2 linked regions of the Daphnia pulex genome follow. The protein of the gene in region 1 interacts with the protein of each later gene in a pairwise test. Links are inferred from orthologs where the notes say so. Each region holds a gene or a part of one and is shown in the gene's direction. Other genes may lie near its edges.

The links.
Region 2: the proteins of myosin-VIIa-like (region 1) and calmodulin interact in binary tests that used the Drosophila melanogaster proteins (3 or more experiments, as listed by UniProt). The link is inferred for Daphnia pulex from reciprocal best matches to the Drosophila melanogaster genes ck and Cam.

Annotation. Positions count from the first base shown.
Region 1 is NC_060022.1:1,966,465-1,971,036, forward strand, and holds the start of myosin-VIIa-like, read left to right. Parts: upstream 1-1,539; 5' UTR 1,540-1,750; coding exon 1,751-1,795; intron 1,796-2,161; coding exon 2,162-2,275; intron 2,276-2,539; coding exon 2,540-2,686; intron 2,687-2,759; coding exon 2,760-2,944; intron 2,945-3,092; coding exon 3,093-3,214; intron 3,215-3,275; coding exon 3,276-3,532; intron 3,533-3,617; coding exon 3,618-3,783; intron 3,784-3,871; coding exon 3,872-4,002; intron 4,003-4,061; coding exon 4,062-4,246; intron 4,247-4,315; coding exon 4,316-4,526; intron 4,527-4,572. UniProt on the Drosophila melanogaster protein: Myosins are actin-based motor molecules with ATPase activity. Unconventional myosins serve in intracellular movements: can function in cells as a single-molecule cargo transporter.
Region 2 is NC_060018.1:7,623,680-7,628,030, forward strand, and holds the start of calmodulin, read left to right. Parts: upstream 1-1,441; 5' UTR 1,442-1,683; coding exon 1,684-1,686; intron 1,687-2,253; coding exon 2,254-2,428; intron 2,429-2,716; coding exon 2,717-2,959; intron 2,960-3,624; coding exon 3,625-3,653; 3' UTR 3,654-4,351. UniProt on the Drosophila melanogaster protein: Calmodulin mediates the control of a large number of enzymes, ion channels and other proteins by Ca(2+). Among the enzymes to be stimulated by the calmodulin-Ca(2+) complex are a number of protein kinases and phosphatases.

The DNA of each region.
Region 1 (4,572 bases):
CTGAGCACACGGCTGTTGTTGGCTGCCTGTTGGTCAATGACCCTCTCTCTCCCGGTGATGGTGTACCTGCGCTCTCTTCTCCACTGAGAGATGAACAGCAAAAAAAGCCAACGCCCGACACACGTAACATACATTGGTCGACCGCAGCCAGACATTCAGTAAAATTAAACAGCCGATGAAACTCAACAACGCGCCTTTCATATATCCGAAACGGAAGTTTTATTTCCGGTTTTGAATGGCGGGCGAGCGGACGTCCGGTTTTTAAAATATCGGCCGACTGATGATTCCTAATAAAGCGAAAGGGGGTTAGACATTTTTGTTTGGGTTGGAAAACATTTTTAGGAGAGAGAAAAAACAAAAACAAATCCAACTGTGAAACCCAGAACGAAACAACAAAGACAGACAGAAAAAAGTGACGCAATTGGGTCGCGCAGTGATGATTTTTTTTCTTCTTTTTCCGGTACACACATCTGCTGTTATGTGTTTAGGTTACACCACAAGAGTCACACAAGAGAAGTGAGACCTCCACCACCAAGATGTTGTTGCCTTTTCTTTGGTTATATTGTTCTTCCAGGGCCATATTGTGTAATAGCGCATGGACTAGAAGAAGAAGAAGAAGAAGAAGAAGAGACACCCACAAAAGTCAGTTGACGGAAGAAGGTTCAAAAACATGTACTGAAGGAGATAACGGGTTCGGCAACAGTCTGGGTATTTTCTCTTGGATGGTGCGACCGCAGTGTATAGTATATAGGAGGTCGTCATCGTCATTTACCACCGTGAAAAAGAATCGGAAAACAATATCGCAGCTAATGCTATACACACACACACACACGAGATGAGGGAGTGCGTGTGTGTGTCTCTACACACATGTGTCGTCTACCGCCAATGAACGTTTAACGATTAAGGACAACGTATTCTGAAAGATGCAACGACGCGGAACTAAAAGTCGAGAAAACTGAAAAAAAAGAAAAGAACCGGAGGTAAAACTGCTGGCTGAAGAACACAGAGAGGGAATCTGAATCTATTCAGCGAGTATAGTATATAGCTGTAACTTAATGTTTTATATATATTTTTCCCCTAGCTGCGACTCTCAGTGTGGCTGCCAACTCATTCAAAGGCGGTTGTTGGAATCTCTTTTCGTTGCAAGGCGTACGTGCTTTAGACTCTTGCGGCCATCCACCTGCTGTTCTTTTCTTATTATTATTACGTATACAGTATACCTTTTGGGCTCTGCGAGTGTTTCCAAATATCTACTAAGAAAAAGAAAAAGAAGTGGACACTGAGAAAACAGCTGACTGTTCAGGGCGGTAGCCAAGCAATAAGTGGAAAAATAAAAGAGAATGTAATCAAACAAGGAATGTTTTTTTCGTTGGGGGGATTTTTTCCCCAATCCTTGTGATACGCAATGTGTGTTTGGACTAGACGTCAGTTAATGAATGCCAATTGATCACGTGAACTTTGAGTCATTTTCATTTTTTTCCTTATCATTTGGGAAGTAGAGATAAGACGGTGTGCTGGCCTCTCCCTGCTCGCCATTATCACATCAAACAGTTTGTTCGCATCGAGTTTGAAGGTTTGACGTCGGTTGAATTCTCAAGTTTCTGATTATTCGGGAGAGTGAAAGTTTTGATTTTGGAAATTAAGGGCATACGTTGATTGTAGTTCAATCAAGTCACGATCGTCCATGGTCTCTCTGTGTTGTCGCCATTATTTGTCAAGTCGAGATTAACGTTGGCGGCTGGAAGAAAAGATGTCGGAAGAAGGCGATGGCTCGTCGACTCAGATTCTTACCTACGTGAGTTCCTAATTTTCCCTAGAACTGGTGGGCACTTGTTGCCGCGTCCAACTTTCCAAACTGCCCAGTGCCCATGTGTTTTGTTGTTATTTCGAGGTCAGCACGGTTTTCCCCTTGCCAAACAGAAGGTGGACATACGGGCCAATGATCATGTCAATGTCCCATTCTTATTGCACGACAATCCTCCGCTCTGCTTCGTCCACAATCCCGTTACAACTTCATTTTTGTCTGTTTTTTTTCTTTGTGAACCAAGTCCACCCCCCGTGGAGATTCGTTCCAATTTCGATGGAAAAATATAACAAAATGTTGTGACACTTGCTCGTTTAATATGATAATCAATTTGGAAATTAATTTCATTTCTATTAGGGCGACTATGTCTGGATCGAGCCCAGCACCAAACGAGAATTCGATGTGGCGATCGGGGCCCGGGTCGTTTCGGCCGAGGGCAAACGGATCCAGGTCGTCGACGACGACGGCAAAGTAAGTCTTATGTCACCTTTTTGTCTTTTATTTTTCCCCATCAGCCGTCAGCACGAAATGGTGAGGCAACAGCACCCCACCTTTTGTTTCAAACCGTTTCGAAATGCGTTGGTGACCGCAAGTCTCGATCTAAGCCACACAGATAAGAGCAATTTAGAACGTCACAACGTCAAATTGGTTTTCCCCTCCTCCTTCTTGTGTATTTATTTGCTTAAAAGTGTCATTCACAATTTTGTGTCACATTTTTTAAATTGAATTGCGCAGGAACAATGGCTGACGCCGGAACGACGCATCAAAGCCATGCATCCGACGTCCATTCAGGGCGTCCAGGATATGATTTCACTGGGTGATTTGCACGAGGCTGGTATCTTGCGCAATCTGCACATTCGCTACAATGAAAGCATCATATACGTACGTCATAGACTCATTTCATTGATTTATTTTTATGAGATGATCAATTGTTGATTTGATTTTTTGGTAACAGACTTACACCGGTTCGATTCTGGTGGCCGTCAATCCCTACCAGATTCTGCCCATTTACACGGCCGAGCAAATTAAAATGTACAGGGAGCGGAAAATCGGCGAATTGCCTCCGCACATTTTCGCCATCGGCGATAATTGCTACTCTCAAATGAAACGCTTTCGACAGGATCAGTGCATCGTTATCAGGTGAGACTTGTACATTGTTTAATAGATTACATAAAATTACGGTCGAAATTCCATTTCGTCTTGGTTGTTTCTTGATGTTCTCAATTCTCAGCGCACACCTGGGTTACCCGAGATTAATCATTTATTTCTTTTCTTATTGCGTTATCAGCGGTGAGTCTGGCGCTGGTAAAACTGAAAGTACCAAATTGATTTTGCAATACCTGGCGGCCATTAGCGGGAAACATTCGTGGATCGAGCAGCAAATCCTTGAAGCTAATCCCATCTTGGAAGGTATTTATTAAAATAATTCCCCTTAAAGTATGAAATGACGTCATTTGATTTGGTTAATTAGCCTTCGGAAACGCCAAAACTGTGCGGAATGACAACTCGTCTCGTTTCGGCAAGTACATCGACATCAGCTTCAACAAACACGGCACAATCGAAGGAGCCAATATCGAGCAGTACCTGCTGGAGAAATCGCGCATTGTGGCCCAGAATCCTGGCGAGAGGAACTACCACATCTTTTATTGCATGCTGGCCGGCATGACCAAAGAAGACAAGCAGAAATTCGATTTGCAGGATGCCAGCCAATACAAATACCTCACTGGGGTATATACAAGTTCAATTTATTCCCATTGTATTTGTTATATAGTGGAATGCGTTATTCAAAATTGGGTTTTTTAACATGTTACAGGGCAACAGCACGACGTGCCAGGGAAGGAACGACGCCAATGAATTTGCCGAAATCCGATCGGCCATGAAAGTCCTGCTCTTTACTGAGCCGGAAATTTCCGACATTCTTCGAGTTCTGGCCGCTCTTTTGCACCTGGGAAACGTTTCCTTCAAAGGAGTTGTCATCAGTAAGAAGTTCATTTAACATTTTGTTCACGACTCGGTAAACAAAATATTAACGTTGGAAACATTCTCGCCATTCTTCCCTTTGTCCAGGCAATATGGACGCTAGTGAAATTCCAGATCCTTCCAACGCTATTCGCGTCTCCAAGTTGCTGGGTGTTGATCCTCGAGAGATGGTTGACGCCCTTACCACTAAAACCATTTTCGCCCAGGGAGATTCAGTGGTCAGTTAATATTGAAATTGAATTCCCATTTGACAGAGATAATTGAATTGTATTTGCAGGTATCGAGGTTATCCAAAGTGCAAGCTGTAGATGTTCGAGATGCTTTTGCTAAAGGTATTTACGGGCGACTCTTCATCTGGATTGTTACCAAGTTGAACTGTGCCATCCGCAAATCCGACGAAATGGACACGAGCTCCATCGGAGTCCTGGACATTTTTGGTTTCGAAAATTTCAGCATCAACAGGTATTAAAGAATTGACTGGACACTAGTTGAAATGGCGGAATCTAATTTGTGTTTTTGGATCGAATAAAGTTTCGAACAGTTTTGCATCAACTACGCCAACGAGAATCTGCAGCAATTCTTCGTCCGACACATTTTCAAGTTGGAACAAGAGGAATACAATCAGGAGAATATCAGCTGGCAGCACATCGAATTCGTCGACAATCAAGACTCGCTTGATTTAATCGCAATTAAACAGATGAACATCATGGCACTTATCGATGAAGAATCCAAATTCCCAAAGGTAGTATTACTCGGTTAATTTCAAATAATTGTCTTTCGTTTAATAA
Region 2 (4,351 bases), on another chromosome or scaffold:
ACTGAATCGTCATCTCTCTTTTCGGTTGACTCTTTATTTTTTGGACCAGCCGCCGTTCCCAGGGGAATTTCTAACGTACAGAGTTTTACAGCGTGTAACAAGAAGACCAGTGAAAACAATTTCCGTGGTGATCGCCCCCCACCCGCCCGACCCTTTTTGGTCTCGCGTCGATTTGATTTGTCCGCCGCAAATAGAAATTAGATTTTACCAATGACTTTTCCCATTTTATTGACTTGCGTGAACGAATTCGTCGCGTACCTTTTTTTTATTTTCACTGGCGCGATGTCGTACCAATGCGGAAAGTTAATTGCATTACATTTGAAAAGTCTGCAGCACCCAACACTTTCTGCACGATGATGGAATTTAAATATTTGACTTTACACTCAGATATTTCGGCATAATTCAGTTAACGGCAAACACAAGTTGCACATTATTCCGTTTCCTTCCCTTTTTTCCCCGTGTGTGTGTGTGCGCCAACTTTTTCAACTTTAGCTACTTTGTGCGGATTGATTGAAACGTTAAGTCGGAATTTGGTTTCGAAATGAAAATGAATAAATACGTACACACTTTACACAAAAGACACGTTTTGGGGCGCAGTTGAATAGATCCCATTATTCGTACTACAATAATAGCTTTCATTTGATGATATTTTCTCATTGAAACATCTCACTTTCGTTTTTGATGTTACATCTCCAAGGCGGATGTATAAAGTGAAAGTTACAAAATCAAGAATTTCCCATAGTGTGCGAGTTTACTCTAGCCTTTTGAAAAGGATGTAGATTTTCTATTAGTTTGGTGGCTAGACTTCTTTTATAAAAAAAAACCCCAACTTTACCCACAGGGGTGCCCTGTAACAATGGTCGAATTTATTTCCGGTCTGAGAGTTGGTACGAATTTATAACATTGGCAACCAATATAGCCCACGCATATATAGGATGTCTTTGAGAGAAGACATGTGTATAGTTTAGCAGCAGCAGCAGCAGCAAGGTCAACAACATTCCGTCTCGCACTGAAGCGTGTCAAGCATAACGCCGAGCCTTTGCAATTACGCCAAATAACATTCGCCACTCTAGCGCAATATCATTTCTATTCAGGGCTGATGGTCTCTCCATATATATAATAAAACCCGAAACTCATATGGACTGACGGTATATAGAAAAGCTTAGAGCTTATACTCATCATTCTTGACGTCTACTGTGCTGCATACATACTACTGCGACGCTGGGACGGCCATATGACAACTTGTATCGGAGTTGATCCGTCCCTGACGGTGTGTGTGTGTGTACCACCGCATTGCTCAATGACTCCCGATTTTGAAAGTCTAGAAAAAGAATTACGGTAAAAGAAGGAGAGAAAAAAAAAAGTCAACTTATTTTATTTTTTGAGGATTCGAAATAGTAAGAAGGTTGCGCTATACCCGGTCAATATACGTAGAGAGAGAAAAGGGCTTCTTCCTCCTCTCCGCAATGTGCATGTGGCGCCTCTAGTCGGGCCCCGCCTCTTTTCCCACTCTCTCTCTTCCTCCGAGCATTCGGCTCAGTTGGCTGTCGTCTGTTGTGCTTGGTGAACGTCCCCCGTCGCTGCTCGTTGTGGTACCGCCTTTGCTCTCTCTCCTGCCCCGTCGTCCAGGATAACTTAGTTTTTTTCCCCGACAACTCTCTATTTCATCCAATAATATCCACTATGGTAAGTACTTCCACGTCGGCATCCTCTCCCAACCGGCACACGAAAATTCCGCCATTTTTAGTGCCTAGCCTACACTTGACGGAAATATAGATTTTATGACTGGAGAAGAGTCGGGTGGGTCGGGGGGAGGGGGAAGTAAAATCAAACGACCTTTTTCTTTTTTTTTTTCTTTTTTCCTATTTTCTTCTCAGATAGTTGTCGCTTTTGACATTGCCGGCTCGTTGTACTGAAACAGGGGGCAATTTGGCCGTCATCGCCCTCGAAATGTCGAATGCTTCTTTCTTTTCTAATTTTGGAGTAGCTCGTAACAGCTTGCTGCTGCACACGTCAATTTAAGCTCGGCACACAACCAGACTTGAAGCTCTCAAACAATATGGTTGCACACTGACCAGACAAGGCCAGTAGTAAAGAGAAAGTTGGTACTGCTAGATTTATTCAGGGCAAATTTACACAGTCTGGTTTGAGCAATGTTAATACCAATCAAGGCTCTCTCTTTATTACTCATGTTGAAATGTCTTGGAATTCTCAAGACAATTATATTAACCAGAAACATTTGTACCTCTACAGGCTGACCAGTTGACAGAAGAACAGATTGCTGAGTTCAAGGAAGCCTTCTCCTTGTTTGACAAAGATGGTGACGGCACCATCACCACCAAAGAGTTGGGAACTGTCATGAGGTCGCTTGGACAGAACCCCACTGAAGCTGAACTCCAGGACATGATCAATGAAGTTGATGCTGATGGTACACACATTATTCAATTTTTCTAATTTATTGCAACTCCAATAGATTATCAAGTATTCTGACAAGTTTGTTTTTGCTGCTTAAGTGGCTTGACTGCTTGATTCTTGGCAGTCAAAAGACTTCCTGAAATATCTGCTCTCTGCTCGCAGAACTTTTCTTGAATGAGAATACTGGCTGCATGTTTTCAATATCAATGAAAATTGTTTTGAACCACGTTCATTTCTTATTGTTCATTTTGTTTCTAATCATACAGAAATCTAATGTAGTTCTTATCATTCTAATCCAAAGGTAACGGAACAATCGACTTCCCCGAGTTTCTGACGATGATGGCTCGCAAAATGAAAGATACCGACAGCGAGGAAGAGATTCGAGAAGCCTTCCGTGTGTTTGACAAGGACGGCAATGGTTTCATTTCAGCTGCTGAGCTCCGGCACGTCATGACCAATCTAGGAGAAAAGTTGACCGACGAAGAAGTCGATGAAATGATTCGCGAAGCTGACATCGACGGAGACGGCCAAGTTAACTATGAAGGTAAAAACTATGATATGTCATGCTCACCTGCATCCAATTTTCTTTTATCGCAGTCGACATCGTCTGTCCGCCTGTTAAACCCTTAGATTTTTAACTAAGCCCTGCATTTACAAATAGTCAGATATCCACATTTTTAGGGAGGTTCTTGCATGCACGTGCGGGTCCCATACTTTCCCAGATGGACCAAAAAATAATGTGGAATATGGAAGTAGAAATATTAATTTAAAAAGCTGCTTTTGGTTCCATGTGTCTAGAAACTATCAAAGACGCACCTTTAATATTCTGTTGGTACACAGACGCATAATTTCTAGACTCTGTGACAAATGTCAATGTGACAACGTAACTCAATTATAAATTTTCTATTTAACAACCATGGCTTAACCTAATCCGATTTTAATCTGATTTTGGAGGCATTCACAAACAGTTTTGGTGTTAGAAACATGATGATGCATCGATTTTAAACCGAAATTAGCGCGTTACCTCTAAAATATTCATCGTCTTTCGTCGTAAAGATTCAGTCCAACCTGGTCCTTTAATATGTGACCTGAATTCCCAAGACGTTTTAAAATTTGATAGTCGATGCAGGACAACTCCTATTTTCCCCCACTTTTGTCTAGTTTATAGTGGAATCGATGATACTAACACGATTTTTCTTATCTTTGCAGAATTCGTGACCATGATGACCTCGAAATGAATAAATCCTGCGGTGTCGTGCCCCTTCCCCAGTGAGCCGTGTGTAGCGTGGACGTGGTTGTGTTTACCGAAACAACAATCAACAACAAAACGTACCATACTTTTCAAAGCAACTGTTTGTAAGACTACAACAACACCCGGCTGACGATACGCAAAACAAGAAAAAGAAAAAAAAAAAAAGAAAATAAGCCAGTTGTCATTGATCTTTCGAGGGCGGCATCCATTTTGTGAAGGGAAAATAACATCACCAGATTTCTGTTTCAAATAGTTTTTTTTTTCCTTTTTTTTTTGCTTTTTTAAAAATATTTTGTGTGTAAAAAAAAACTAACGTCAACGTTACTGTCTAAAAACACTTTGGTTCCCATGCATATAAGCTGCGCTCGTCCAGTGTAGTGTTGTGAACTGCCGTGCTGCTCGGGGATGGAATACTGGACCAAGTTAATTTAAAACAGAATACGAATCGGCAGATTAAGAAAAGAAAAAAAAACATAACATGGGGAATTATTTGTCTTAAAAAAATAAGTGATTTTTTCGTCAGCTGTAGAAGAAATTCGATACATTCACCATCAACCAGAACCCTTCCTCTCGTTTTTACCCTTTCGTTCATATAAAAAAAAACTTGTTTGGTTCAACCTTCATCGTTTGTGTCTAGTTTTGCTCTTTTTCATCCCTTAAATTTTCGTTGTTTTTGAACCATCT